Tamandua tetradactyla: one gene and its partner. The protein of the gene in region 2 interacts with the protein of the main gene of each other region in a pairwise test. Links are inferred from orthologs where the notes say so. Each region holds a gene or a part of one and is shown on either strand. Other genes may lie near its edges.

Region 1 (16,058 bases), on a different chromosome or scaffold from region 2:
TCCGATTTCATAAAGATGATGCAAATATATTATCAAGAGTAGATTAAGACAGGGTTTACTTTCTGCTCAGTCCTCATGGAACAATTACTCCCTCTTTTTAGAGCAAATAATTTGGTACCTCTGCAAGAGAAAAACAAAGGCTACCTGGAGTTTGTACCCCTGCACTCGAAAGTAGCATTTACAGAGACAGCCTGTCTCTAAACAGGACAGTATGTGACCTGGAACACATAGTGGGGGGGTGACAATATTAATGTCTTTAGATCTATGTATCTGTATCTTTTTTCTATTCCTCTGTGTGTGTGTGTGTATAACAGCTTTATTGAGATATAATTCATATACCATACAATTTGCCCTTCTGAAACATACAATTTGATGGTTTTCAGTATATTCACAGAGTTGCAAAACCATAATTATAATCAATTTTAGAACATTTTCATCACACACACCGTCCCCCCCACCTCAAAAAATCCCTGTGTTTATTAGTAGTCTCTCCCCATTTCCTCTTCCCCCTGTCCCTGATAACCACTGGCCTATTTTCTGTCTCTATGGATTTGCCTATTCTGGACATTTCCTATAAAGGAAATCACTCAGCCTGTGGCCTCTTGTGGCCGGCTTCTTTCACTTAGCATAATGCTTTCAAAGTTCATCCGTGCTGTAACATGACTCAGTACTTCGTTCCTTTTTATTGTAATATTCTATCATATGGATAGGCCAGATTTTACCCACCCATTCATCAGTCGGTGGCCATTGGGGTCGTGTCCACTTTTCCGCTAGCGTGAATGCTGCTGCTGTTAACATCTGGGTACAGGTTTGTGTGTGGACACACCTCTCCAATCCGCTTGGGTGTAGGCCTAGCAGTGGAATTGCTGTATGACCTGGTAACCCTACATTTAACTTCTGAGGAACTGCCAGGCTATTCTCCAAAGCGGCTGTGCCATTTGACATTCCCATTGGCAGTACGCAAAGCTTCCCTTCTAACTAATTGCAGTCCAGAGCTTGGTAAGCCTACCACAGAATGCCTGTTCTCCTGCCACAAAGAAAAACTCGGGTCATTGTTGAGCCAAAATCCATCTCAGATTTATAGAAGGACTTTAGCTTTTGCAGGCCGCAGAACAACTGAGTGATTATGGAAAAGCTTAAAGCTGGGACAATGGATAAGGTGACATTTTCCTAACATCTCGAGAGCATGGAATGTGCAAATGCCATTATTTGCAATATGGGTGGTTTTAGTTTGCTAAAGCTCACAAAATGCATTATACCAGAAATGGGCGGGCGTTTACAATTTCTTAACTTACACGTTTACAATTGTAAGGGCGTGAAAACATTCAAATTAAGGCATCAAGAGGATGATACCGTCTCTGAAGGCAGGTTACTGGTGAGATTGGGCTGCTCTGTTAGACAGCAAAGGACACGGTGCGTCTCCTAGGCCTTTTCTCCCAGCTTTCATTGCTTTCAGCTTCTGGCTTCGGTGGCTTCCTCTCTGAGCTTCTGCAGGTTTCTCTCTTTCAGCTTCTGTGGGGCTTTTTCTGCCCGCTTCTCTCTCTCTTTTATCCTCTTATAAAGGACTCCAGTAAGAGGATTAAGACCCACCTTGAATGGATGGGCTGGGTCACCTCCCAAATAGAATGACTGAATCTAAAGGCCCCACCCACAACAGGTCTCTATCCACAGGAATGGATTAAAAGAACATGCTCTTTCCTGGGGCACATGACAGCTTCAAACCCACAACGGGTAGACCAACAGACTCTCCTTGGCTCTTGAAAACCCTCAAGAGATCGCTAAGTGCACCTGGTGGGAACCAAATGAGGGTCTGCCTGGGAGGCCCAAGAGATGCTGCAACGAGCCACAGGCTCAGCGTGGGCCTGGTTAAACCCAGAAGCCGCTTCGAGTCTCTTCCTGCTCACTGGCAGCTGGAAAGATGGGAATAAGCAGGAGAGAGGGCCTGTTCCTCCCAGAGCATGGACGCTGCTCACGGTGGGAGGCTGTGTGATGGACGAAGGGGAAACCCAAGCCACCGGGACCTCTCCTGCTGGCCCCACCAAAGTCTTTGAAACCCCAGGGTCATTATCTGTACACAAACCGAGCTCTCCAAGCCCTTGGCATATGTTACAGAAAACTCCCCAGGACTTGTTCAAGCCAGGGTCTATTGGCTTCGCTGCCAAAAAAATAGAGGCCAAACAGGTTGCTGGCAACGCCGCGGATCCTGCCGTACAGCTCAGGGTTAATGCTGGCCTGGACGCTCTCCCGCCGAAACCAAGTAGCGCCATTAAGCTCACCCTGCATTTCGGGGGACTCTGAAATACTGTGCATCGATCAAGCCCTGCAGCGCCTTCAAAAGGCTGCTGTTTTGTTTTCATTGAATTTTTGGAATGATTTTCACATTTTCCATGATTTCAGAAGAGCCTTAACATGGGACAACTGGTGCACTCCTACAAGAGCTAGGAAGGAAGCTGAGCGCCCCAGCGAGGGCTGGGCAGTGGCATGAATGTGTCCTTGCCGGGAAACGTCCTGCAAGGTCAGGGGGACAGAAGAGAAATCGGGTTGCTCTGAGGGGTGGGGGCATTTTGGGTGCATTAGAGTGTTTCAGTGGCCCGCCTGTGACACCAGAGACTACCTGGGGGCCGATTATGACTACAGGGGACCTTGGCTTGATTCCAGGCCAAACGAAGGTTGGAGAGAAAGAGAAAGTGGGGATCATGGTCAGAAGCGAGGCAACCTGAAAGGCCCACTGAGGCAGGAGCTCGTGAACTCTGGGGCAAGCTGGTCCTGTCCTCTGCAGTTCTTCCTCCAGCTCTGTCATCCGTCATCTGTCACCTGTCCTCTTCCCTCTCCCTCCCTGCCCCTGGCTCACTTTATAAGGGGCTGCCCTGGCCATGGGACCTCAAGTGGCCACCCAACCTATCTGATCAGGAAGGTTTCTCCAGAAAATTCTCCCCTGCTTAGCTGCCCCAATATCTAAAACTCCACCATAAGAGAATGTAATTGTTTCCTCTCCGTGACTGTTCCCACATGTTTTCTGTTTCAATGTGAAGACTCGCTACAGATCGGCTCAGTTTTTAAGGCAAAATAAATCCCTATCCGTGGGAGTCTGTAGGTCAAAACCTGAAGGACGGACACCCAAAATGGTTAACAGCGTTACTTGGCCGGTGAGATTATGCATTGTTGTTAGTTTATCCTTCAATGTACCTTCCAAAGTTTCCATGAGTAGGGTTTTTTTGTTTTTCTTTTAGGGGCAGGGGAACACACATTTTTTCCTGTTCCTGGGGCAGGGAAGTGAAGCATTAAACAAATCTCTCTGAAGAGCTGGTTGTCCGCCTTCTTAAATCTTTTCTTCCAAGAACCAGCAAGGGGAGGAGGGAGCAGCAGAGTTCAACACATCAGCCCGGCGGGTCCCTACTTTCCCTCTGGCCTGGCCTAGGTCTCCTGAGCTGCGCGTTCCTGGCCATTTGCAAACAGCATTGTGTGGTCCACATTCCACACTTCACCAAGGTCAAGACTTCAGAAACATCAACAAGCACAACCCAGCATAATTGAGGTTTCGTCCAAGAGACAGGACCCAGGCAAAGCAGGGAGAGAATCACTCTTCTTGGAGAGGAAGAGAGAGAAAGTCTGGGAAGGCTTCCTGGAGGTAGCAGCTTGGCTGGGTGTGGAGGGTAAGCAGGAGTTTGCCAGTCAGGGGCAGAGAAGGAGGGTGTAAGAGAGCAGAGGTGTTCTGGTATCTGCCTTGTGATTTCTTTGGAAAACGTCCTTTCCCTTAGTCCCTGTGGAATTACAGCCTGCTAGTCTCTTCTGGCTTCTCTGCCCAAAAACGGGCCTCCGCCACCCCCTGGAGGCCCATCCCAGGGCCTCTCCTTGGTCCTCAGCACTTGGCCCCCAGACAATTTCTCCTTCACTGAGGTTTCAGCCGCAGCCCCCGTGCAGAACATTCTCAGGTCTCCAACTCCTGCCCTGTATTCGTTCCAAGTTAGGCCCACATCATCTTGCTGTGCATCAGCCATGTCATTGTTACACTGATGTTCCCATCAGTTTCTCACCCTCCATTCTTCACTCCACAGCCGGGCCAACGGGCCTTCCCAATTTCTCTCTCAGCTAGCTCCCTTATCTGACATTAATTTAGGCTCAAAAACTGTACAGTCTTGGCTGCTTCGTCTCCTTGGTCCTCAGAATTTAATCACACAACACAGCCTGATTTCTTTTTCCATTGAAATATCACCCGTAATTTCCCTTTCTCTATTGTTTCCACAGTTCGATCCAAATCCAAGAGTCATGCTTGGATTAGTGCAGTAGTTCTCAAACTTGTGGCCCCCAGGGACTAGCACAAGCATTACTTGAGAGCTTGTTATAAATGCAGATTCCCAGGGCTCACCTCCACACCCACCCAGGCCTTCCACTGTATTAGAAGCTCTGGGGATGGGGGTGGGGGGTGGTATCCATTCCTTTGCATTTTTAAAACCCTCTAAGTAAAGCTGATGCTCATGAAAGTTTAAACCAATGGAGTAGTACAAGAATCTCCTGTGATCCTCCCACAATCCATCCTGAGAGTGGCTCCCCAATTAATTTACTCACTGTTAGTTATTCTGCTTTTTGGCAGGGCTCCACTCCAGAACCATCAGTGGCTCCCTGCTTTGTGAAGACTAAACTCCTGCGCCTGGCTTGTAAAGTGCCATTATCAGGCTCCACCTCTCCAAACTTGTCCTCCTTAGATGTCCTAAGACACTCTGCATTCTACCTGTGACAATGTCTTCACTTTCTAAGCCCCAAGGCCTGGACTGTAATGCCTGCTCACGCCCACCCACCCATCCCACCCCACCCAGGTAGGATTAGGACCTTTAGAAACCCTAAACAGTTAGCTGTAAAATAATTGTACGGAGGGCAACCAAATTACAGATTCTTTCCCAGAATGACCGATGTGTTGCTTTAAAAACCCATGTATCAAATTATCCTTAAAATATGTTTTTTGGTTCCACCTGTTTTCCTACGGTCCCCAGTTCATGCTGAACAAATCTGCTCATTAATCCAGTCCTGCCTCTGTGGATCCAGGTCCTATTCAATGCTGAGTGCTCTCATTTTTGTGAGCAAAACTAAATAAATGAATGAATGAACTTCATCCGCTCAATTAGTCAGCAGGAAAGCGTTTCGGTTTTTTATTTCTTCTGTGTTGTCCCTTTTCAGCACCTGCCCTGCAGGAATTAATACATCTTAGTGGATCTCAGGGTCTCTGTTTATTGGCTCTGGAATCAACAAGTGCTGTGGGCAGCCGCAGGGTCTGTCCTCTACTGCCTGAACCTGTTTCTCAGAATCCTTTGAGCCCTGAATGAATGCTTTCCCAACCGGTTAAGAATCATACCTGTAAGACACTTTCCCAAAGTGGGGGGAAAAAATCCCTTTAAAATGAGTCCATCAGTAGGCTGTGTTTGAAACATCATCTCTAAACCCAGCCAAACCTGAATGCCAAATACCTATGACTTGTGACTCGAAGAAATGGTTTAGCAGTAAAAAGTTCCCCAGTTATAAGTAACTTTTGAAAGCTCCCATTTAAACAAGGGATGCATTGCATCGACAAAGAACAGTTCCTTGGAGGCTGACGTTTTTGCTGGAGAAGAATCGGTGAAAACGGACTCGTCACCGTCTATGGGGCTCTCGGGGTACAGGTGAAAACCGTTTAATCCGTGTGCGACCCGGCGAGCCGCGGACATCGGACCCGTACCTGCCCCGTGGACGCACCTCCCGAGCCCGGGAACCAACCTCCCCGGGCGCTACGACTCCACAGCCCCCGTGACTCACCCCGCATCATTGGGTTTGAAAGGAGCCAGGTGGTGGGACGGTCTCCTGGCCCCAGGGGTTTTCTGCGGTTCCTGCTCCCTCCTTCGCCAGCCATTGAGCGCTCCCGGGTCGCCAGGCAAACTCGGCGCGCCCCTCCGGGTGCTCAGGAAAGCCGGGGTCCCAGGCGTCCCCGGCGGCGGGCTGAGAAGCGGCGCGCGTCCTGCCCCGACGGCCCGCCGCGGAGAGCAGCGCAGCCAGCAGCGGGAATCTGGGCAACGCTACCTGCGGGTCGGGCACACGCACTCGCACACGCGCACGCTCCACCTAGCTGGCTGGAGGTCGGCCAAAGCCCACGACAGCCCCACAAGCCCCAGGTCTGCAAAATTGCTGATGTCACGTCCTTTCCAAAAACTGAGACCAATCAGTGAGGCAGCCTTGGAGTTTATCAGGAAGGAAACTCAAAAGTTTGTAACATTGGAGCGTGAACAAGGGCGGGCTTGAGGGAAGCAGCTCGCCTTCTGCACCGTGGTCCACCCTGCTGAGAGCTGTTTGTTACTTTTTCTCGTGGAGACCAGCCCCCCACCCCCACCCCCACCCCCGAGAGCTTGAGAAAGCTGGTTTTGCTGCAGCCCTGCAGAATTGCTTGCGCTGCGCAGAGATAAGCACAACAAAAAGCACAACAAGCCTGGTCAGCTGCACACGTGGTTTCAATTTTGCTGAGAGTTTCCTATGAGAAAATGTGTCTGTATGTCACAGAGACATGCACGTTTGGAAAGAACTTTTTCTTTTTTTCCCCTTTGGACAGCAAGGAGTTCATTAAATGTACTTCACCCTTCCTCCACACATTTTCACTTCCCAGTAAAGAATTAATGGGTTGCTATAGGAAAAATGAGTTTCTGGGTGGCATGGAGGTGGGGGTTGTTTGCAAGACACCTGCTATCTTTCTCCAATTGCTGATTATAAAGTTTTCCTTTATAAACGTTTTGCAGTCTTCGTTACAAAATATTTGGGTTTTCTGTATATGTATCTTTTCAGATAAACCCAGTTTCACAGCGCCCTTTGGTGCTGGTTCAGGCTGTTAACCGACCCTGGACTCCCACTGTTCCTCTCTGCCAGGTGGAAGAGGATTATCTTCCAGTGGGAGAAGGTTCTGAGTTAGTTTCAAGGTTAGTTTGGCTGTGAAATGATAGCGGAATTTTGATTGAATGCTGAGGCAGCTTCACTGTTTCTGATTTAAGAATCCCAGCTGAAACGCTCCGTAGCCATCGTCAACAATGCAAGGAGTCATTACAATGCATTTCCTGCACACATCTGTATATACATTTATCCGTTTACCATTTGTTCACATAAATGTCCTTAGATTGTCATGTTCTTCTATGTCCTTCACATTTATTAGACTTGGAGATGTTTCTGTTTCAGCATATATAGCTACATGCTCCTTTCTTTATTCACTACCGCCTAGCCTTCCTAGTCCATATTCCATATGATGGAGGCAGAATGTTTCTTTTTTTTTTTTTTGCTACTACTACAAAAACACTGCAGCCCATATTTTTTAATATATGGCTTTGTGCACATATGCAAATATTTCTGGAGGAGAGATTTCTAAGTGTGGAAACACTGAATCAAAAAGTATGCTCACATGCGGGTGATAAGTTGTTAAAGAAAAAACATAAACATGTAAAGGCACACACGTGCACATGAGTACAAGAAAAGCTGGAGGAATCTAAATAAGATCAGTGGACCATATCAACATTTAATATCCTGGTTGCAATATTGTACTAGAGCTTTGCAAGATATTACCCATGGGAGAAACTGGGTAGAAGGTGCACGAGCTTTCTCAGTTTTTTTGGGTTTTTTTTTTTTCCTGTCTTCTTTCTTACAACTGCCTGTGAATCTACAATTATCTCAAAAGATGTTTCAATTAAAAAAAGTGATGCTCATTTAAAATGGGGCTAAAAGGTGCCAAATTACCCCATCTCTATTTGCATAGTTAACTGAGAAGGGCAGAAGCATATAAATTCTTCACCACTGCTTCAGGAAAGATTTGAAGAACGATGTCATTTTTACTTGACAGTCAGTGAAAAATGTAGTCCCAGGCTCGACTGAACTACAAATAGTTAGACAGAGGGGCGTAGTGGAGAAGCTGGAACCCGTCACCATTCTTTCTTAGCAAAATCTTCATGGTTCAGGTTTGTTGCCGCTGAGTGGGCAATTTTGTCCTATGTGCACAGAAGTCAATGCCGTGACACCAGGAGTTCGAGAAAAGATTTATCACGCAGTCCACCAGCAAGGAGATCCAAGAGATGATCCTCAGAGCAGTCTCCCCAAGCGGAATGGGAGCTGAGGTTTTACCTGGGAAAGGTGGGCCTCAGGGAGGGGCTAAGGGTGGATGAGATGAGGGGTTGGGGGGAGTGGGCTAAAGGGGAGCCTGCTCAGGTCAGATCATGCTACTTCACGCATCACATGTTCAAAAATGGAGGGTGGGAGTGATTTTTACTATTTGTAATTAGGCAATGGTGATGTTAGGTCAGGGCTTCTCCTGACTGAGCATGCTCCAGCCCCTTGAACTGGCTAGAACCAGCCTTAGCAGGTGTTGGAAGGGAAAGAGGAACTTTTCCTGCAGCCAAGCAAGCTGCTACTGAATAAACATGAGGGGGTGGAAGCGCAAACAAAAGAAATGAAAACTTTTTCAAACCAGTAGGGGAGGCACTCCTTCAGTGGAGAGGAGGTTGGTAAGTGGCAATTCAGCGTCTTCCTTTATTTTTAATTAAATTCCAAGAAGATAAGATTTCTCCATATTCAAATTTAAGGTCGGAAATGACAATAAAGACTTCCAGGATGTTGCCCTGGTGCCTGTGAGGGAATCAGCTTTGTGTGTGTGTGTGTGTGTGTGTGTGTGTGTGTAAATTAATTTCTATTCTGGTAACATTTATACAACAAAAATTTCCCATTTGAACAACTAATCTGTTTTTAATCTTCTCATTATATTTGTAATGTTTATTGACACTTGTGATTTTTAAAAAACTACCCATAGTTCTAATCAAGAACTAGAAAAGCATTATAAGAAGAGTTTGTACATTTTTAAGGATTTACATGCGGATCAATTTGATTTGCATGTGTATGAGCCGTGATTAGAGAGAACTGGGTTGGATTACCACAAACCAGCAGTCTTATCAACTATCTTATCAGCTGTTCAGGCTTTGCGTGTCACTGTGTGTGTCTGCATGTTCAGCGAGGCTGGTCCCGGTTGGGAAAGAAAAAAGAATTATGGCCTACAGCAGATTCTAAGGTCACACTTGTTCTTTTTTTTTTTTTACTTGTGAAAAATAACATATATACAAAAGAGCAGTAAATCTCAAAGCACACCGCAACAATCAGTTACAGAACAGATTTCAGAGTTTGGTATGGTACAGATCCACAATTTTAGGGTTTTCCTTCTAGCTGTTCCAAGACACTGGAGACTGAAAGAAATATCAATACTATGATTCAGCAGTCATACTCATTTGTTAAATCCCATCTTCTCTGTTAAAACTCCTCCTTTTCCTTTGATCCTTCACCCAATCTTTAGGGATATTTGGGTTATGCCTATTCTAACTTTTCATGTTGGAAAAGGGTGTCAATAACAAGGGACAGGGGATAGAACTAGTTGATGTTCTTGGAGAGGCTGGCCCCTCAGGGCTTCAGGACTTATCTGGCCTAGGAACCCATCTGGAGGTTATAGGGACCCATCACACTCATTCTTTATCAGGTGCAGTCTCAACACTGGCCAGTCCCTCTGCCTCACCCTTGAGATAATGTCCCTAGGAAGGAAGCATGACTCATGGGTCATGAGACTCTTGTCTCCAAAGGCACCCACGGCCACTCGGTCAGAGTTGGCACAGGAACTGCAAAGAGGGGGTCTTGTCATTTCTGCTCGCAGTTTTTCTAGCACAAACCCTTTAAAGCCCAGAAGGTATGCAGCTTCACTGATAATTTGGAATTATCAGATTTTACGCAAAAATTCTCTGTTCCAGTCGTTCTTGTAGAATTGGCTCTGCATGCTGAGTTATCTGGTATTGCTGCTTTAGAGATAGAACGTTCTGCCTTCCTGCTCAGCAGAGCAGCAGAGCAAGATTCGAACAAGAACATGTTTTTAAAAATCTGCTATAATACAGTATTCATAAGGAAACAATCAGAGAAATGAACATTGAGGGCCCATCTACATGATAATGGAGCTGAACTCTTCAAAAATTTCAATGGCATGAAAGACAAAGTGGGGGTGTGGCATTCTATACTAAAGGAGATCAAAGGGGCACATAATCAAATGCGATGCAACATCCTAGATTGGAAACTGAATGGGGAACAAGCCAGAGAAGACATCAGGGCCCCAAGCATGGAACCTGAAATCTGGATGTACACTGGGTCACCGTGGTGTGGCGATGCCAGACGTCCTGAGAGGAGCACTGTATCACGGTTATGTGGGGACTCTGCGCGCTTAGGAGTTGCATGCGGAAGTATTTGGTATAGAGCCTTATGGACATCTTGGGCAAAAGGGGAAATGTGCGCCCCTATATACACATTTTGCACCAAATGGAAAAAGTTAATACAAGCTCTACAGAAAACAAACAAACAAACAAACAACCATGAGTACAGATAAAGCCCCCCACCGGGCCTGGTCTGTTCACATGCCATTGTCATTCCTCATAAATCCCATGACCACATGTCCCAGAAACCCGGGTTGATCGGAAACACTGTTCTCTTTGCACAATGCTGTAGGGTCGTAAAGCAAACACCAACAGTGTGCCTTTATTAAAATTTTTCGCATATTGGTCATCGTGGGTTTCTTGCCAATACATTTTTTTTAACTTTTCATTTTGAAACACTTTCAGACCTACAAGCCAGTTCCCAAAATAATACAAGCCCCATACAGAGAACTCCACCATACCCCTACCCCCTATAACCAGAGGCACCAATTTAAACATTTTTGTTACATTTGCCTCATCATTCTTTCTATCTATCCATTCATCCATCCATCCATCCATCCATCCATGTTTTGGTAAGTCTACTCTCCGAATATTTGAATATTGGTTGTATACATCCTGCTCCTTGAACATTTAATACTGTCACGTACATTTCCTAAGAACAGGGATATTCACTCACGTAACCCCCTTAACTGCAGTTATCCAGTTCAAGAAATGTGTGATTGCTATAAAGCCTACAGTTTATATTCCAATTTTTTTCACATGTCCCAATAATGTCCCTTTGAGCCTCTTCTCCTCCCTTGCTAGATCCCATCCAGGATCACATATTGCATTTAATTGTCATTGTCTCTTCAGTTGCTCTTTCTTTCTTTTTTTTTTTAATTGTGGATGTCTTAATATTTATTTTTTAAAATAGTGCATAAAATATTATTTAGCTTGATGACTGAGTGTTTGGTGTTCCCTTGAATTTTGCAGCTGAGGTGAGGGCCTCACTTGCCTCACCCTAATGCCAGCCCTGGTGAAAAATTATGATGTCTGCAATGATGTCTGTATGATGTCCAGATGGCTCAGTAAAATAAAAACCTGTGTGTGTGTGTGTGTGTGTGTGTATGCATATGTATTAATTATATATGCTTTATACAGAGATGTTAGTGTTTACATACATAGATGCATATATACATACACACACATACAGAAAGAGAAACAAATGTGGCAAAATGCTAACAATTGGTGGATCTAGGCGACAGGCATGGAGGGGTTGATTGTATTATTTTACAACTTTTCTGGAAGTTTGAAACATACAACAATGGTGGGGGAAGAAAAATTAATAAGTGGAAATAAAACTCTGGCATAGATTTTTTTACAGGTTCAACTCATGAAAAAAATAGGAAGCTGCTATTCGGTCTGACCCATGCATTCGTCCCACTAAGGGAAGGAGCTGAAATATTTGCTCTGCAAATGTCCAGGCAAGAGCTGATCCTTACAGTGGTTTGCGATGGGAGGAAACCGGAGGTCATCCAGTGGGGAGAACATCCTCCGGGGACAAGCTGTGGTCACTCAGCCCCGCCCCTCCCCATAACAGCTGCAGGCTCTGCCTCTGAAGCCTCCGCCCTTCTCTGTTGTGCTAAGTGCATAAAATCTCAGCAATGAGGCTTGCAACTGAAAAAAAGAATCATTCATCCAACATCATGCTTACTTGACATGGCAGTATTAGAAAGTTAGGGATGAGAATTATTTGGGGAGAAACAATTCCTTGATAATCAGAACCAAAATTGAGAGAATCGAATGCTATATATAACACTTAAAATAATTTAAGGAATTTTGGAAGAGTTGAGGAACTAGGAGTGGGGTAGGGTGGAGGGAAGGTCTCCTTTGTCCCTGTTATATGGCCAGGGCATTAACCCTTGATCTGCCATAAATGTCACATATAGCTTTTTCTTCCATTTTTGTTTGCCCTTTCATTTTACGGTATTTTTGGCAACATAATTTTTAATGTATTCTAAATTGTCAGTGTTGCCCTTAAAATTTTCTGCCTTTGATATTATACTTAGAAAGGCTTTGCCCACAGAGTGCATAAATATTCACGTGCATTCTCCTCTAGTATTTTCACATTTCTTAACATTTCAAAAACCTGAGATTTGGGTTTTTTTTTTTTTTTTTTTTTTGCATGGGCAGGCACTGGGAATCGAACCCGGGTCTCTGGCATGACAGGAGAGAACTCTGACTGCTGAGCCACCATGGCCCGGCCCTGAGATTTGTTTTTAAAATGTGACATAAGGTAAGACTTTAACCTTTTCCCCAAAATAGCTAACTAATTAAAATTAGTTTATGAGATAGTCTAGAATACCTGCTTCCTCTACCTACTTCAGGCCAGTAGCACGCCTTCTGGTTATGATAACCCAAAATTTCTCTAGACATCACCAAATATCCCTGGGGGTGGGGGTGGGGGTGGGGGGGAATTGTCTGCAGTTGAGAACCAAAGATCTAGAAAAATAGAAGAAAAAAAAATCACGTATGTAACTGATTTTAGGGTCACCTGAGAGAGGAAGAAGTTAATCATATATATATTTATTTCTATATGTGTGTGTTTCACTTAATTTTTTTCTTTTGAGAAGGTAACATGATTGAGTCACTGAATCACGACAGTAGCACTTTCAATAGTTAAAAGTCTGTCTAATTTCCATCTTTTAAACTTACAAAAAGAAAGAGGAGGAGAGAGAAAAGGAGACAGCAGCGGCTGTTCATATATGCTTTTTTGCTTGTTTTGGGCCCCTACCCACGGAAAATATACTGATCCAGCTTTGAGTCTGCCCTGCTGACTGGTATGCACGGGTAATATTTTCAAACACCCTGAGGTTCTCTTGGCATTGAAAAGAACCCAATGCTTGGGTGGCAACAGGCATCAGATGGCACCTGTAGGTTCAGGTAGATGGGACTCCTGGTGATGTACCATCCTAGAACTGCTTTCTTCCGAGAGCAGTGTTTAATAGCAGAAGTGATGAAAAATAGACCCTGAGATTTGTTTGGCATAATTTTTGCCAACATCTCTCTTAGCAACCATTTCAGTAACTGGAAACTTCCATTCACTGTGTTGTTTTTCATGTATTTGGCTTTTTGTTTTTAATATTGAAAAAAAAAAGGCAGGGGAATCAAAATGCTAGCAGAGATTTATTCCAAGAAGGAAGGAAAGAAAGAAGGGTGGAGGAGGGAAAAACTAAGTCAGGACCACTTCTTGGGCTATGTAACATTCATCGTCATCTCCCCCTGGATTTGCACATGTCTACACGGTATGCAGAAAACTGACACTTACGTACTTGAATATCATGAGCTATCGAAAAATGGCCTATTCTTCTCAGTCTACTTGACAGTTGGTTTTTTTAAAGTTTTTTAACAAGAGCTAAAGATGGAAATGTTGCCCATTGCCCCTTGGCTAATGAGAATATTAAACCAGCCAGTAGTTTTCACACCCCCAGTGTCTGGGACCGACCTGAATGGCTAAGCTGACATGAAGATGCCGAGAGTCCATGCCTGAGGAGACCTGGGCACCGCAGGCAGGAGCCCGTGTCTTTCCCAGGCTCTTCCAGTGGGCAGTAGGGCCTATCGGTACAGGAGGAATCTTTCCAGCGGCTCCGGCAGATGTAGTTCAAGGATGGCTTGATGGCATGCACGACCCAAGCGCTTACGGATACACAGGCGGCAGAGCTGGGCAAGGGAAGGCGGGCCTGTAGAGGGGATACAAATGGTTTAATCCCCATGGGGTGGGGGTGGGGATGCAGGGTGGAGACCAGAGAACCAAAAGGGACTGAAGACTTTCTAAAAGGACACGAGAAACTGGATCTGCATAGGAGATGACAGAGCAAGATGGCAGACATGAAATGCACACTCCCAGCTGCCCCTCTGGAGGGGGCATGTTTCTTTTAATTGATCCTTACATGGCAATTGGATTTGTGATGTTGACCAGAGGCCAGTGAGGAATGAAGCATGGGGTTTAAAAGTGTACATCCTGTTCATGGACTGGACGTGACGTGCTGGTGGAGGAGGACTCTCAGATGAAGTGCTGAGCCTGCAGGACCTCCAAGATGAAGCTGCTGAGCTGAGGGACGAGTGTGGAGAGGGTGTCTGCAGGAAGCCCAGCCTGTGTGGTCAGAGGTGGTGTCAGGAGATATGCCAGGGCCAGGCAGTCAGGCCTTGGGGTCCTCCTGGACCCTCCTGCTCTAGCTGCCTGGGAGGCGGTGCTGTCTGGGGCGCAACACACTCTAAGGGGCCCTCCATTCTTGCAAGGATCCCAGCTCAGTAGAGGCTCTAGAGAAAGGACCCAACTCGCCTAGACCCCATTAGACCCTGAACTTTAGTGGCTTTGAGTCCTCATGGGAGACAAGTTGATGAGAGTCCAAAATGTGGTTGCATGGGCTGAAAGAGCTTTTGGCTGGAATACTAGTTATTACAGGGGCACTTGGGATGGCCCACTGTCTCCTAACCTGACTGTTATCAATAAGAGCTCTATGTGATTTCTGGTCCATATAGAGTTTTCCTTCTCAAGAAAATCCTGTTGTAACTACATCATGCACCCCATGAGAAATGGTAGGCTGCATATGCAATTAGCTGGATAGCACTTGGATTGATGTTGCCAAGGAGTGCCCAGGTGACAGAAAACCTACCTGCATGACCAAACGATAGTGCTTGGTTAAAATCCTGGGATGGCAGAATGGAAAAATGTTTATACCTGTTTCACTACCTAAGCTCCTCTGGGAAACAGCAATGCGACAAATTATCCAGTTTGCCTGGAGTAGTTTGGACACCAGAGGAACTCTGATGTGCCTGGTGTTTGTCATTCTAGATCAAGCAGCTACATTTACAAAGGTTAAGGACCAAATAATTTGCTTATAAAAATGCAAATATTGGACCTGGAAGCACATTTGAAGGAAAAAAAAAACAGGAAGTGTGACAAACGCCTTAACTATATTTCCCACTAACAGTTGGAAAGTTCCTGTTATTTCCAAACTTGGAGTTGGTAGATAAGATCACAATCCTTCTGGTAGAAATTCAAATACAGGAACAATCATGAATGACCTGGACTACTGGAAATACTCTAGACTCAAAGTACCAGCCGCAGCAGCAGCCCCAACCCCACCCCCACCCCCAGGAGCCCACTGAAAATGCAGACTCTGGGCCCCACCCCAGACCCACTGAATCAGAAGCTGCATCTTGGCAAGATCCCCAGAGATGTGTACATACGTTAAAATTTAAGGAGCGCTAGTCGAGAGTCTAGTTCTAAAACTACGAAGCCAAGTATTCCACTTGGAAGGTATGAAGGCATGAGGCTGGTGTCACAAAATGGAATCCAGGAGTGAAATGAGACCCCTCCCCACTGGAAACTGCTGCAGAAGCTTCAGGACTGGGGCTCCACTCTTTTAAGAAGGTGCGCTCTGGGGTCAGACTGATGGAGACAGAAGCCTAGGAGCTGAGGGACCTCCCGCCAAGCTAACCTCTCTGTGCTCCTCTTTGCCCCTTTGTAGCCGGGATAGCGTCAGCTACCGTAAAGGACTGGTGGCTTTAAAGTTCTAAGAATTTGGTGAGATCTAGGTTTCAGATTTAGCTGAGTGCTTAGTGCTTGCAAAGCACAACAGTTCCCATTATCTCATAATGTTCTCTGGAGCACACAAATCCTCAATCTGGGTTCAGATGACGAGCTCCTACATGGTTCTCTTGATCAGGGGTGGGAAGCACTTAAGCAGCTTGCAGCTACACCCCCCCACCCCCACGCCCGGCACCCAGGAGGTGGAAATGGGAGAAGACCAGGCAAGGAGGAAGGCAGAGCCACCTACTCCCTGACCT
Region 2 (15,923 bases):
CGGAGGTGGTCCTCCTCGTTCACCCACACCAGGAAGCTCTTGTTGTCGTTGTGCCTAGGATGGGGCCCAGCAAAAGGCGAGCGAGTCAGCGGAAACCCCATTCCCCATGCCCAACACGAGGGCCCAGGGTGGTCCAATTCTTCCTCAAGCTAGAAGCTTCTACCTGTAGACTCTGATGTTATATAGAGTCTGTAAAGCCTCGAAGCTGGACATCAGGGACTTTTAAAGTCTTCTGTCTTCGAACATTGGGTCTTAAGCCTTTAAATTATAGACTCTTGGAATCACATAATCTTTGAAAAACCTAACTGATACATTTTAGGAATGCAGAGCAGGACTGGACAAATTTCCCATCAAAATGTGACATCTCAGAATCCTGACATCTCTGAAACAGAGGCTTAGTACCATAAAACATTAAGATCTGGAAATGTTAGAAATTGTGGGATCACAGAATCAGAAGTTAGTGAAATCTTAGAACCTATGGATATTTAAAATCTTGAAATCTTAACATCATCCAATCTGTATGTTTTAGAACTCTAGACCCCCCTAATCCTCTGAAAGGTTCTCTAAACCTTTTTAAACATTTGACTCACAAAATCAGAGTCAAAGACTCATAGAAAGTCTACCTAGCAACTAGCAGTTAGAAATAGTGGTAATACTGATAACCAACAGGCACCGAGTGCTTACTATATGCCAGGCATTGCTTTCAATACTTTGCATTTTATTAAGTCATTTAATTCCACAAGAACCCCAAGCTTTAGGAATGACCACCACCCCCATTTTATAGACAGGGAAACTGGGACAGAGAGAAGTTAAATATATTTGCACATGGTCACACAGCTGGTAAGTGGTAGAGCTGAGATTTGAACTCAGGGAGTCTGATTTAAGTCTAAAGTTTAACTGTGCCTTCTCTAGTCCAAGTTTCCCAAAATGTGACACACAGGGAGTGGCGGGGTGGTGTCCGGATGAGTGTGGTGCTTAGAAGCATCATTATTTGTATGGTCCTGACTTTGGTTGGGGAGTGGGGAGGGTTGTGGGGATGGTGGGGGCGGAAGCCTGGGAGAGGCGGGGAGGCCATGGTTGTGTATGGGGCAGCGGGGTGGGGGGTGGGGGTCCTCACCAGATGCCACGGGCATCAGGCCAGTCCCGGGCCATGCCTGAGGCCAGCAGCAGCGGAGACACGGGCTTGTCGAACAAGAAGTGGTCATCGATGAGCTGCTGCTGCTCCTTCTCGGTCATGCTCTTCAGTGGGTAGTACTTGCCCTTGAACTCGCCCGTCAGGCTGTTGAGGGCTGAGGGGCCACAGAGGGGGTGGTCACCAGCCTGCCCACCCTCACCCCCACCCACCAACCAGGGCACGGAAGCCAGGGGCCCTCCTGCACAGCTGCCCCAAACAGGCCTGAGCTTCAGCCCACTCATTGTCCTAAGGATGCCTAAACACCATGTCCAAACCCAAAGTCACAACCTCCCACCAAAATGGGTTCCTCTCCCATCCACCTGGGCCCCAGAAGATGAGCTGCTTAAGCCAGAAAAAAGAAGCTTCTCCCCTTCCCCTGAGGGCACATCCAATCCTCCAGCAACCAAAGGGCTCTCAAGAGAGATGGTCAAAATCTTAAGAATTTGCAGAGCCATTAGTAAAAATTACTGCTATCTATAATACTTATATATATTTATATGTATAATTAATGTAGCCTATGTATATGTATAATGTTTTATATATTATTTATACTTACATATTTTATATATTTATATACATTTTATATTGTTCATATATTATATGCTGTTATATATTAGTAAAATTAAATTATGTAAACATACAATTAAATTGAAAACAAAGGTAATAAATACTCAAAACTGACACTTCCGAGTTATTTTACTCCTCTACTATAATCTCTGTTCTTGAGTTATTTTCATTGATTTTATGATGCTACATTGACAGCTTAAAATTGGCCTTAGTATGAAAATTTACACCACAGAAATAGACAAACTCTACAAATCTGGGCTATTTCCACATCTCCCCTCCCCTCCACCTTCCCCCCACCCCAGAGAGAGAGAGACAGAGAGAGCCTGTTGTTAAGCATTTGCCAGCACACCATTGCTTGCAGGACCTGATAGGTCTACCTTCAAAAGATCCCCCTGTTTTTCCCCATCCCAGTGCCTGTCCCCTGTCCCTTGCCTGGACCACTGCAGTTGCCTCCAGACTGGCCTCCCTGCTCCATTCTTTACTCACTTCCCCATGGTCTGTTTCCACCTTGCAGCCAGAGGGATCCAGGTAAGTCTAAACCTGTGCCTCCTCTGCTCTCCACCTTTCGTGGCTTCTGCCTCACTCAGAGCTAAAGCCTAAAGGAGGCCCTGCACAGATTGGCCACCACTACCCCTTCCCCTCATCCCCCCCACCCCACCTCACACCCCCTCTACCCCTAAAACACATGCCCACCTCAGGGCCTTTGCACTGCTCTTCCGCCTGCCTGGAGTTCTTCCCAAGGCAGGCTCCTTCTTGTCAGTCAGGTCTCAGCGCCTCCCTTCTAAAGTAGCTGCCCCCCTTCATTCTTTACCACTTCCCCCCGGTTCTTGGCTTCCTGGCACATTGAAATTTTGTGCACTTATTGGTCTCTGTGTTCCATCATATCCCTTATCCTGTGGGCTCCAGGAAAAGTCACCTTGTCCAAATGAATGAAGTACATTCAGCCGGGCCCCGGGGCAGGGAGTGCTGCATGCTGCTCACAGCCTGGGCCTTGACATTCTCCCCTCTCCGGCAGAGGCCATCACTCTCCAAGCACCCCTGGGTTTGCCAAGCTCCTCTCACGGTTTTGAAACCTAGACAGGGCCAGGTCACTGCCCTGGGTGGCCAGGGCAGGGACTCTCACCTTCCACGGAGAGTTTCTCTATGGCCCGGCGCTCGCCGCGGGAGCAGTGGGGGGGCAGCGTGTAGCCCTTGATGCTGCGGCCGGTGCGGACACGGCTGCTGAGCACGTAGTTGGGGTCCAGGTCGTCTCCACCCTAGAGGGCAGCCCGGAGTTGGGGGAGGTGTCAGGGTTGGGCAGACCCTCCGGGGCGTACCCCCTCAGCCTGCCCCGCCGCCCGCTGAGCCCCAGGTGCCCCCACCTGTGCGACCCCAGGAGCCCCAGGTCCTCCTCGGTCCTCTCGGGCTCTGGCTTTCTGCTGCTTCCCTTGCCCCCTCCCGCCCTCCCCCCCACCTGGCCAAGCCTCTGCCCGCTGCACCCCACCTGCCCCCCCACCCCAGCTCAGTCTCTTCCCGCCCCTGTCTCCCCTCTCCCCCTCCCCCCTCCCATCTCTGCCTCCCCCCGTATCGCCACCCTGGCCCCTCTCCATCTCTCCTGCCCTTCCTACCCTGCTCCACCCAGACTCCGCCCCCCACCACGCCAGGGGCCCTGACCTTGAGGTTTTCATGGTTGAGGTCGGTCTTATGCTTGTCGGTGGGTTTGTAGCCCCCGTGCCTGTCCTGGATGATGGGGTCGAAGACGTCCTTGAAAACCTCATAGGACTCCTCGTCCCCGGCCACGCAGCCCACGGTCATGATGTATGGGTGACCTGGGGGGGTTGGGATGAGGTCAGAGGCGCTGCTCCCCAGCGAGCAGGGCCCCTGGGTCCAGTGAGGACTGGGTGTGCGGGAAAGGGAGGGGGAGGGGGAGGGGAGGGGGCAGGGGCAGGGGAGGGGGTGGGGGCTCACCCCAGACCCCCAGGCCAGGATTGAGAAGGTGGAGAGGAGGCGGATGCGGACAGCAAGCTGCCGGGTGGGGGATAGGATCCAGGGGACAGGGTGGCTCTAGGGGAGTCTCTGGCAGCTGGTTACAAGGGGCTAAAACATTAGCACCTCAGAACCCCACAATCATGGAATCTCAGCCTAAACATCTTTAAAACCCACAGCAGGTCGGGGTAATAAGAGACTCGAAAGACCCTCTTGTTTCCCACACGGGGAAACTGAGGCCTGGAGAGAGAGGGAGTCTCCCCTCAACCACACAGTGAGGCAGAGGCCGAGACGGTCCTAGAACCTTGGGTCCTGCCACCAGCCCCCGTCTCCACTGCGGGGGCCCTTTGTCCACAACACTGACAGCTCCCACTCCCATTCCACGCTCTCGAGTTGATGTTTCCATGACAGCCTATCCCGTGGGTGCCCATTTTTCAGATGAGAAGACCAAGGCTCGGGAGGTTAAATGACTTCCTCAACGTCTCACGTTATGTTGGTGAACTTTTGGGGGTGCCCTTCGCACGTATTGACCCCTTTGCTGGCTCACCCCAGCCCCCCTCTAGCTCCCGGCCAGGGAGGCCCACCTGGGTTGTCTACCCCCGTCTGAATGATATCATCCAGGGTGAAGCCAGACGGCGTCTCCTTGTCCCGCAGCTTCTTGTAGAGGTCAAGGGTCAGCACTTTGGCCATGTGGTTGTTGTGCTTCGTGAGGTCAGGGTACTCCTCCTCGACCTTGTAGTTCAACTTGAACTTGTTGTGCGTGTTTCCGAAAGGCATGGTGGCGGCGTGTGGGGGCCTGGCGGTGGCAGAGGGGAGGGTTAGCCCGCACCCAGCAGAGACCAGCAAGAAATCGGAGCAAGGCTTTGGGGGCCAGTGGGCCTGGAGGCCGTTCCTCACTCCAGCCCTGGGTCACCTGGAGCAAGGGGGGCCCCTCACTGAGCCCCAGCATGTTTGGTTTTTTTGGGGGGTAGTGCATGGGGGGGCAATTGGACCCGGGTCTCCCGCATGACAGGCGCGAACATTCTACCACTGAACCATCTGTGCACACGAGCCCCAGCACATCATAACGGGGCACTTCTCCTGGAAGAACCGGCTTTGGTATTGAGGGGTCTTGGCTTAAGGCCTCAGCTCTGCCACTTCCTGGCTGGGTCACTCTAGATTATAAATTTGCTAGAGACTCCTTTTCTTCAGCTGGAAAATGGGAGTGGGGGGGGGGTGGGGGGTGGGGGAACCCCTGAGCTGGAGTTGGATGTGCCATGGTTATGAATGTAGGTGCTGGAAGCTGTTCTGCCACTTACAGCTGGCTGTGCGTCCTTGGGCAAGATGCTTAACCTCTCTGGGCATCAGTTGGTCATAATGGTGCCTACCTCATGGGGATTTTGTGAGCGCTGAATGAGTGACAGCATGTCAACACTTGCAGTAGTGCTTAGCACACAGTAAGCATTCTTTTGCCTAGCTGCTTTCATATCACTGTTGTTATTTTAAAGGTCTGTGAGGAGCTGATGAGATGGTGGGATGAAGGGCGTGGCAGGGAATGAATGTGGGAGCGCAAGAGAAGGTGTATTCTCTGCACAAAGGTTTCTAGATGCTCAATCCAAGCATAGGACCAGGGTGGGAGGACTGGCTGGTGGTTGGCCCCAGCTCTGCCTACCGATGCCCCTCCTATGGGCCTCAATCGGAAGGAAAGCTCAGCCTCCGGGGCCAACAAGACTGGGTTCAAGTCCCACTGATGCCCTTTTCCCGCAGTGTGGCCCCAGGCCAGTTGCTCTGCCTCTCTGAGCCTCTGTCCCAGGGAGGTGTGACGGGCTGAGCCCAGGTCTCGGCATGGAGTATGTGGCCAGAAATTAGGAGGTGGCCACTATGTTTGTTATTACTTTTATTAGCCCCAGAAAGGGGGCGGGATCCTCCAGCAGTACAGGCAGGGCTGGGGTCCCTACTCCCCACTTCAGGGACGGGAGCAGGCAGGATTGCGGGAAGGAACGCAGGAGTGGGGGCCGAGGCGCCGGGCCCCAGGGTGGGGAAGGGGACCCGTGAAGGCCCTCTGGAGCTGCTGCCAGGTGGGGTGGTGTTATTTTTAGACTCTGGCAGGCTCCTCCCCCCTCCCCAGCTGCTGCCCCCCACCCCATCCTACCCCCACATTCCAGGGGCTCGGCTTGCACCAAGTCAGCAGGCCAGAGACAGGTGGGCCAGGGTAGCCCAGAGGACACACACCCAGGCCTCGGGGCTCAAGGACATTCTGGGCTTCCGGCCCAGAGCCCTCCCCCCTGAGGGTATGACCACCCCTGTCCCCGCCAGGGCCACCCCAGGAAGGGTATTGAAGCAAGACGGGCAACCCCAGGAGACCCAGCAGAAATAGCCCCAAATCCACACACACAGGACATCACGCCATGATGGACACCCCAAACCACCCCATAAACAGCCATTAGGGTCACACCTGCCAGGGAAAATGCCCAGGGCACAGGTACCCCTGGAGGGGACACAGCAGGGTCCTACACGGGGGTCGCAACCGCAAAGCCCCTGCAACACCTGTTCTTGCACCCCTGACACGTGAGAGGTTCACAGATCCCTCCCACAGCCTGTGCGCTGGTGGCACCAGTGTGGGTAACAACCACTAAAGAACACAGTCCCAGCCCCACAGCCCCTCACAGGGAGGGGAGACACTTGGCAGCTGTCAAGACCCCTCTCTTCTCTGAGATTCCTCCCCAGGAACCTGCACCACAGAGACACAAGTGCCCCCAGGGGGTCAGGTGAGCTCCCAGGTGGAGAGGACCCTCAGATACACGAAGCCATCCTTCCCCCACACAGGCCCGCCCATCCACAGGAGGGTGCAGTGGGGTCTTCCAGCACCAGCTCAGACTCTGGCGCCCACCCATGGAACCCCTGCTCTGGCCCCCACCCCACCCCCACTTCGGGCAGTACCTGGCTGGGCTGGGCTGGAAGGGGCTGTCTGTATCCTCTGAAGCGACACTGACCCAAAGGAGGGGCCTGCAGTCCAGGCCTTATATAGCGGGACCTGGGCTGTGCTATTGGCTGGGAGTGGCTGCTCCCAGGGAGGGGACCAGAGGACAGCCGGGCCTCTTACCTCCCCGCCCGGGCACCATGCCCACCTCAAACCCAGGGGTGCCTTGCACCCAGCCCCAGGGCCTTGTATGGGCCACTGCAGGGGCCGGGCCTGGGCACCCCCCACCCCTCCACAGCTGATTCCCCGACCAAGTGCTGAGTCGGGCTGGCGGGGACAGCTGGCCCGTGGCCAAGAGCACGGGACAGCAGCCGGGCACGTCCCAGGCACATAGAAGCCACTCGTCCGCTGTCCCCGGGCCCTCGGCTGCTAGCCTCCTGCAGGCCCTGAGCCTGCTGGGCCGCCAGCCCCCTCATCTGGCCTGGCCAGCCCCCTCCTCTGCTCCCCCCAACCTTCCCTGGCCTCTTCTGTAGTCCCCGATCCCCTTGACCCTAGCAAAGTGGCAGGTACTGAGCGCTCACCACTTGCTAAGAGCACCAGTCAGGAAACCTCGCAGTGACCCGGGGAGGGCGGCACCCGCGTTTTCCAGAAAATAAAACAAAGAGGCCCAGAGGGACTGTGTGACTTGCCCGCTGCCATTCAGCTAGGGAGGGGACCAAAGGGGGGAGGTGTTTGGAACCCAGGACAGTCTGACCCCAGAAGCCTGAGCTCTGATGTTCCTTCCCTCCTTCTTCCTTGGAAGTGAGCAGAAGGGAAACTGAGGCAGGCTGGGTTACAGAGACTCAAACTCAGGACTGCACCGTGGAGGGCAGCTATGACCCTGGGAGATTTCCGCCACGAAAGCGGGGCGGAGGGGACAGGGAGGAACTTGGCCGAGAAAGGAGTTATTTTTAGAGCGCACTCCGCTGTCGGAGGCGGAGACCCGCGGCGCCCGGGATGGGGGGGCTCGGGGGCAGGTGTGGGGGGCAGGGTCACCACGTGTCCGGGCTAATTATAACCGGCTGGCTCGGGTGTCCCCGCGCCTCGCCTCCTTACAAGGGCAGCAACGGACCCGGACGGCCGCCCCCACCCCCACCTCTGTGTCGGGGCCGGGCGGCGACGCATTTAACAGCGCGGGCCCGGGATCCGTGCGGACCCCAGCCTCGCCAGGAAGCGCTCGGCCCCTCGACTGTGACCTGCGACCTCAAGGACTCGGCCGGTCGGCCTAGAGGAAGCGGCTTCCTTCGCCTGGGGGGCTCCAGGATTGCAAGATGAGCAGGACGCCTCCTCCAGGGAGCGCCTGGGATTGCCACGGAGAACAGGCCGTTGGTCCCTCCTCTCCCGGCCTCCTCCCTTCTTCCCAGGTCTCCACCTTTTCTGGCATTTCCCGGGGTCTTCCCCATTTCTTCCCAGGCAGGTGAGGACTGGTTTAGGTGAAAGGCCCCGCCCTGACCTCTCCACCTATCTGCTCCTTCCCAGCAAGGACAGGCTGGCGAAGGTTCTAGATCATGATCAGGGAAACCCAGGCCCAAAATCTTCATGCAGTTATCACTTCAACAATGAGTTGTTGAGCACTTCAAACACAGCTTAACCAGACAAAAGCCCTGCCCTATGGAAGTGACCTTTTCGTGACAGTGAACAAGTGAATATATAATGTAATGTCAGGGCCAATATGTGCTTTGAAGGAAAAGAGAAGAGGACAAGGGATGAGTCTGATGGTGCAGCATCGACCTTCCAGAAAGGAAGGTCAGGGCCAGCCTCTCCGAGGGCGAGGAAGGAAGCAGCCATGTGGGAATCTGGAGGGAGAGTGGCTGGAGGCTGGGCGGGGGTGGGGAGCAGGTGCAAAGGCCCTGAGGCGAGAGGGGGCCAGAGCCAAAGTCTGAGGGACACTGAGGAGACCAGGTGGTCTGAGGGGAAGGGGAGGAGTGGGGGAGAAAATGAGGTTGGAGGGGGGTTGGGAGCAGAGCATGGGGCCCTGGACACCACGGTGTCGGGGGGGGGGAATGTTTCAGTTTCACCAGGGATGGGGTGAAGCTACGGAGAGCTGTGAGTAGGGGAGACGCAGGATCCAGCCTCAACACACACTCTGCGGATGGCACGGCCAAGCGCCGTGGGCCCCGGATGGCCATGGGGGAGAGGGGGGCCTTCGACATTCTCTTTGGGTTGCACAGCATGACATGCCATTTCTGTCTTCTCCCCACCTGCTGACGGCCTCCTTTGGAGAAGCGGAAAATGCCAGAAACGTGGCTTCCCAGAATCCCCTGGAGCAAGGGGTCCAGGCATGGGGCCTGGATGGGGCCAGGACCCCGAGCATGAGCTCTAACGTGCTTTACCTTGTTTGCATCTCCCAGAAACAGCTGGCTTTGGGGAGCATTGTTGCCTCCCACATATACATATCTTGATCTTGCTGCTTGTCCCTTCTCATTCCCAGCCTTTCTGGGCCTCCTCCCTTTCCCCACAGCCCACCCTGGCTAAGGCCCCCCATCTCCCAGGTGTCTCATCCTGCCCAGACACCTCCCTGGTCTCTGGACCCAGTCTCTCCTCCCCCCAACCACCCCCCGTCTCTCCCTCCTGTTCAGAATTTGCCATGGCTCCCCAGTGCCCCCAAGATAAATGAGTATCTGTTGACTAAGAAAATAATAGTCGTCATATCACACAACTGCAGGCCACAGAAACCATTCTACCCTGGAAAGCCACTGCTACCAGTGGAAGGGCTGAGAGAGCAAGCTCTAGGCTGGCCCTCCAGGAACACCTCTCAGCCTCAGAACCACACTCCCTCTGGAAAACCTAGTTTTTAGCTTTGCAGGCCCTTCATGGATGGAAGACGCTCTAGAAAAAATTTAGCATGGCTGTTGAGTAGCCATTCCAGTCATTGCCAGTTAACTTTTATAGAGCAGTCCCCATGTGTCAAGTGCTGTACTCTGTGCTTTATATAGAGTAACTCATTTAACCTTCACAACAATAAGGCTCAGAGAGGTTAAGTGACTTGCTCAAGGGCACACAGCTGGGAAGAGACAGAGGTAGGATTCAAACTGACAGAACTGCAAATAATGTATTCAAACTTTAGTGAAAAGAATCTTCCAAGTCTCCCAGCAAAGTCATAGACTATATTGTCAGCTCAGGGTCCCTTTTCAGGACATCAGACCCCGGTCATTAGTACCTGCTTCCCCTTGCCCTTCTCATCAGCCCAAGAGTCTGACCTCAGGCTCCAAGGACTTTATGTGCATTAGCCAATTTAATTCTCCAACTGTCCTATGAGATTGGGCACTATGTTTTTAAGAATTGGGAGAATGAATTGGCCAGAGAGGTTGTTTCATTTACCCAGAGTCACACAGCTTGTAAGTACCAGAGTCACACTGGACCAGGCACTCAGATCCTGCGGTGATACTCTCAAGTCCTTACCAATCCCACCTCTGCAGTGCCATTTTATAGAGGATGGAGGTTGAGGTTGAGTTATCAGGATCACACAGCCCATATGTCTGGAATCCCAGAGCCTATACTCTTTCCCCACTCCTACCCCTGAGGCCGGGCATTGCACAGCAGCCCTGCTCCCACATTCTCCCTTTGTTCTAGCAAGTCCCCTGAACCTGTCCCTCCCCTGGCCAGGTCCTCCCCAACCCCAAACCCTCTCCCAGTCCCAACTGTCTATAATGTCGTCTGATTCAAGAAAGACAAACTGTAAATCAAAGGCAGACCCAGAAGCGGGGATTTGAGGGTCTGCCTACCCCTACTTCTTGTCCCCCGAGAGCTGCTGCAGCCCTGTAATCTGCTGAACGTCAAGCCCGGTATGGGCAGGGTAGGGGTGCAGGGAGAGGAGCCAGTAAGAACAAGTTCTTCTCAGAAGTTCCCTTCCTGCCCTGCTTGAGTCCCTCCAAATCAACTCACTATATATTTTCCTGCAGGTGCTGCTTTAATTGCATACCACAGGTTTGGGTTTGTTTGTTTGATTCTTTCTGCATTATTAGTTCAGTTTTATTCTTTACATTGAAAATGCTACGTTTGAGTAAATTTGGAGTGTTTGGATGGTCACGCATTCACATTTTGTTCTCTTTTCTGAAATGTACTTTTTAAAAATGAAGGCATGACTTCTATTCAGTGAACTGCCCTAATCTTAAACTCTGTGAACTTTGACATTATCTGGACGTTGGAGTGACCACCACCGGGATCAAGATACAGCTCTGTCAGCAGCCCGGAAAGCTCTCTCCTGTCCCTTTCCAGTTAAGTGTCTCCTCTCCCCTCCAAGGTAGCCACGGTCCAGCAGGGGTGTCCTCTCTTGCCTGGGATTGCTTTTTTCTCAACATTATTTCTGGTGATTCCTTCATCCTGTTGCATGTAGCAATAGCTTGTACTTTAACAGGTTTTGTTATATTTTTGTGTATATTTTATTTCTTTTTCTTCCACAAAGAAGCCATACCCCTTTCCTAATCCCCCTGCCTGTTGGCATTTGGTTTTGCCATTGGAAGCACATGTATATTTTATTTGATGATTGGCCTGTTCTAAAGATTTTCTCATTTCTTTTATTATTTCTTCTCTGTCCTATGAGTATTTTTTAAGAATCTTTTTATTATTGGATAAAAGATGACTGGAATACTATGCAGGTGTTAAAAAGAATAAAGTGGATTGTTCTAGTTTGCTAGCTGCCGGAATGCAGTATACCAGAAACAGAATGGCTTTTAAAAAGAGGAATTTACTAAGTTGCTAGTTTACAGTTCTAAGGCCGAAAAAGTCCCAATTACAACAAGTCTATAGAAATGTCCAATCAAAGGCATCCAGGGAGAGATACCTTGGTTCAAGAAGGCCGATGAAGTTCAGGGTTTCTCTCTTAAGTGAGAAGGCACATGGCGAACAGGGTCAGGGTTTCTCTCTCGGCTGGAAGGGCACATGGCGAGCAAGGCGTCATCTGCAAGCTTTCTCTCCTGGCTTCCTGTTTCATGAAGCTCCCCAGGAGGTGTTCTCCTTCATCTCCAAAGGTCGCTGGCTTGTAGGCTCTCTGCTTCTTGTGGCTATGTCGTTCTTCTCTGCTGTCTCTGAATCTCTCTTTCTCCAAAATGTTTCCTCTCTTATAGGAGTCCAGTAAACCAGTCAAGACCCACCCAAATGGGTGGAGACACGCCTCCACTTAATCCAGTTTAACAACCACTCTTGATTAAATCACCTCTCCAGGGAGATGATCTGATTACAGATTCAAATATACAGTATTGAATAGGGATTATTCTGCCTTTATGAAGTGGGTTTTGATTAAAACATGGCTTTTCTAGGGGACAAACATCCTTTCAAGCCAGCACACAGATCTATACATGCTAAGTGAAAAAAAAAAAAAAAAAAAAAAACCCGATATGCCTACAGCCACAAAAGCTCTATGAAACACATCTCCCCCCAAAAAGTTCAGTGGCTTTAAAACAGCAACCATTTATTCTCATGGATGTGGGATTAGCTGAGGGTTGGCTGATTGGGTTGAGCTCAGGTGGGAAATTTGTCCCCCACATCTCCACCGTGGGGTGTGGGCTAAAGGGGGAGCAGCCACGTAGGAGAAACACTTCTGATGATGATGCCAGCGCATGAAAGTAAACATGCAAGGTCTCCGAAGGCCTAAGCGTAGAACTGGCAAAGTTGTCACGTGGCCAAGCCCAAAGTCAAGGCCAACGAATCTTCAGCCCACCTCCATGGAGAGGTGTTTCCTCACTTGTTTTACTTCAATGGGCGCACACACTCCTATATCAGCACACAGCCCAAAGCCGTGGAAGATCTCTGGAAGGTATGTGAGAAGGTATCTAGGGATCAAGAAGAGATGAAGATATGTCATTGGTAACAGAGACCATCAGGAGTTAGAAATAGGGTAAGATAATGGGTAATTGGAGCTGAAGGGATACACACTGTGCAACAGGACTAGATACAAAAACTCAAAAATGGACAGCACAATACTACCTAATTGTAATGTAATTATGTTAAAACACTGAATGAAACTGCATCTGAGCTATAGTTTTTTGTTTGTTTGTTTTGTTTTTTATATATATTTTTTGTATTTTTTATTTTTAATTTTTTCTCTATATTATCATTTTATTTCTTTTTCTGTTGTCTTGCTATTTCTTTTTCTAAATCGATGCAAATGTACTAAGAAATGATGATCATACATCTATGTGATGATATTAAGAATTACTGATTGCGTATGTAGAATGGAATGATTTCTAAATGTTGTGTTAGTTAATTTTTTTAATTAATAAAATAAATAAATAAATAAAGAAGAGATGAAGACCTACTTTTCACTCCTTTTATATTCTGTGAATTTCTTTTTCTGACGGTGCATAAATTTTTCAATTAAGGGGGGAAAAATAAGACTTTTTTTAAACTGGCCAAACTAAGGGACCGGCAAAGCCTTCCTGATCAAAATGGGGGAAAGAAGTGTAATAAAATAAGGCATCAGTGGCTGAGAGACCAAATGGAGTCAAGAGGCTATTCCGGAGGCTACTGTTACCTGAGCGTCGGTTGGAGAGTGCTGATTGCCATGGTTTGCTAACCCCCAACCAGCATCACTCCTGTTGACTCTTCAGAACACCTAGGGCTGGAGCGGAGACGCTATAAAAGTTTCACACACTAATTTTGACTTCCTGGAACCTATAACTTCCAGAGGGTTCCCGGGCCAGATACATCCTGAAACACCAGAGGGACCAGCCTCTCCAAGGTTATCTTAAGTACATCCCCCTATCCTTTAGTGTTGAGACTCCTTCTCAACATGAAAAAATCAGAACCAGCATTACCTAAAGATCCCTATAGATTGGGAGAAGGAGCAAAGGAGAAGGAAGAGGTATGACAGAGAAAATAGGATTTAACAAATAAATATGACTGCTGAATCACTACACTGATTTTAGCCTCCGGTGTTTTGGATCCGCTAGAAGATAAAATCTGAAATATGAAATAATGGAGTGGTAGCCCCTGACAAACTCTGAAATCTATTCTGTTGAAGTGCACTTTGAAAATTGTTGCTTTTTCTTTCCTTTCTGTGTATATATCTTTCACAATTAAAAATGTTAGAAAATAAAAAAAAACTGGATGAGAGGTGAAAAAGAAAATCCTTGACCCATCCACCCATTTTCCTGAGTTGGCAAACTGAGGCCTTATGGAACAGGATGGGGTGTTTGTTGACTGCCTTCTTGGATATGGACTTGGGTAACCTATTTCTCCTCTCTGAGCCTCAGTTTCTTCATCTTAGGTGGGACTAATAATGGTACCTACCTCAGGTGACTATTGTATGGATTTAATGGCTCTGCTACTACTTGGCTGTGTGACTTTAGACAAGCTACTCAACCTCTCTGTGTCTCGTCTTCTTCATCTGTGGAATGGGGATAATCCTAGCACCTGCCTCGTAGGGTTGGTAGGAGAGCTTGGCTCAGCACCTGGGTGTGGCTAAGAACTCAGAAACACCAGCCCTCATTGGTGTGAGGGAAAGTTGCTTGGCACAGGGCCAGCCTAAAGAGATGGTTGCCTTAGTTAACTTTCTTCTTTCAACCTTTCCCTCATTGAATCCTTCCACAATACTGTGTGGTAAACCTGATCATCCCTGTTTTTCAGAGGAGGAAACATGGGCTCAGAATGAGGTCATTTCTTGCATAGTCACATGACAAGGAAACGACAAGGCCAGAATTCAAACTCAGATCTACCTGGCTCCAGGTCCCTTGGCCCCCCCACCCCTCCCCACACACATGTAGTATCTGCTGTGTGCCACCACCGTCTCCTAAGCCTTTTCTCGGGATGACTCGTTAACCCTCACAACAGCCTGATAAAGTAGATTACCCTCACAAGTCCTGTTTTACAGATGGGGAGCCCGAGGCCCAGAGAGGTTATCTCCCGGCTCCGGGACACACAGCCAGTAAATGGCCGAGCTGGGATTTGCACCAGTCTATCACCCACCCTGCCTTGTGTGCAGAACCAACATACAGTGTCCTGAGGCCAAAAGCATGGGAGTGGGTGTAAGGAGGGGAGCTCAGCTGTCCCTTTATCCCTCCCAGCCCCCTCTGGAAGAGTTAGATTGTGCATTCCATCATTTAGGCACCACCATTCTCCCCAGTGCCTTCACTTGTACTTGGACGTGCTAGGAACATGGCAGTGATGGGAGACAGACTTGGTCTTTCCTTTCCATAGGGGGCTCCTGTCCCGTGGTGTAAACAGACCCATTCCTAGACAGCTACAACCCAGAGTGGGCAGGATTGGGATGGGGGAGATCAGGAGGCTGCAGGACCCCCAAAAGGATGTCTGACCCAGCCTGGGAAATCAGAGAGGGCTTCCTGGAGGAGGAGAGGAAGCAACAGGTTGGCTGTGGCTCCGTGGGAGATAACTGACCTGCGCTGAAGTCGGGAGCCTGGTTCACGGTCCCAAGGCGCCCTCTGCTGGAAGCAGCCCCTAGTGCAGATGCTTGGAAAAGCGTGAGTTGAGGTAAAAATCCTGTGCACCAAGCTTGGACCATTTTATGATTCTAGGGTTTGATTCGTTTAGTCAGTCACTCAACAAATATTTATCGAGCACCCAATAAGCTCCAGGCTCTGTTCTAGTGCTAAAGATAAACTTCTGACAATACACAAGGTCAGGAGCTGACAAATTCTAGAAATGGAAGAAAATGTACCAATAATTATAATAGTATACAATCAGTGCTAACATTTGCTAAGTGTCTCCATATGCCCGACCCTGATAAACGTACTGTCCATATGTAACAATAACCCTTTGATTATTCCTATTTTACAGAATGGAAAGTGAGGTATAGAGAGGTAAAGTATTACCCAAGAACTGCACAGTCCGTAAATGCTGGAATCAGGATTTGAATCCAGAGCCCATATTTTTAACCATCATATTACCTCCCCTCTCTAATAATCTAATATAATATGATAACTGAGATGATATATGATATAAATGTTATAACATAATAAATGTGAAATGATGTGTTTATAAAATAACTTCAGGCCCTAGACAATTTTGTGAACAAGATCAAGCAGGGAAATGAAGTAGTATTTTGGTGGGAAGATAATTTAGACGGAGTGGTCACTGAAGACTTCTCGGAGGAGGCAACCTCTGATAAGAGACCCGACCACAGCGAGATCTGTCCGCAGATCTGTAGGAAGACGGTTCCAAGCAGCGGGCGCAACCAAAGCAGAAGCCCCGCGGCCGGCATAGCGCAGCGGCCATGGATCTGGGATCCCAAGCGTCCGAGATTCCAAGTTTCCGAGACGCTAGCTTAGCCGAGGCCCCTCTTTTCCAGGCCCCCAGCGCGCTGGGATCATCCTCAGACCCGAC

What was found.
Region 1: the proteins of CKM (region 2) and ASB9 interact in binary tests that used the Homo sapiens proteins (3 or more experiments, as listed by UniProt). The two-hybrid records come from large-scale screens. The link is inferred for Tamandua tetradactyla from reciprocal best matches to the Homo sapiens genes CKM and ASB9.

What each region holds. Positions count from the first base shown.
Region 1 is NC_135353.1:159,756,480-159,772,537, reverse strand, and holds the start of ASB9 (ankyrin repeat and SOCS box protein 9), read right to left. Parts: upstream 6,288-16,058; 5' UTR 5,879-6,287; coding exon 5,785-5,878; intron 1-5,784. Other genes in the region: ASB11 (ankyrin repeat and SOCS box protein 11), read right to left, coding at 13,821-13,945. UniProt on the Homo sapiens protein: Substrate-recognition component of a cullin-5-RING E3 ubiquitin-protein ligase complex (ECS complex, also named CRL5 complex), which mediates the ubiquitination and subsequent proteasomal degradation of target proteins.
Region 2 is NC_135342.1:15,654,750-15,670,672, reverse strand, and holds the start of CKM (creatine kinase M-type), read right to left. Parts: upstream 6,758-15,923; 5' UTR 6,626-6,757; intron 4,503-6,625; 5' UTR 4,484-4,502; coding exon 4,291-4,483; intron 3,550-4,290; coding exon 3,395-3,549; intron 2,998-3,394; coding exon 2,865-2,997; intron 1,290-2,864; coding exon 1,118-1,289; intron 55-1,117; coding exon 1-54. UniProt on the Homo sapiens protein: Reversibly catalyzes the transfer of phosphate between ATP and various phosphogens (e.g. creatine phosphate).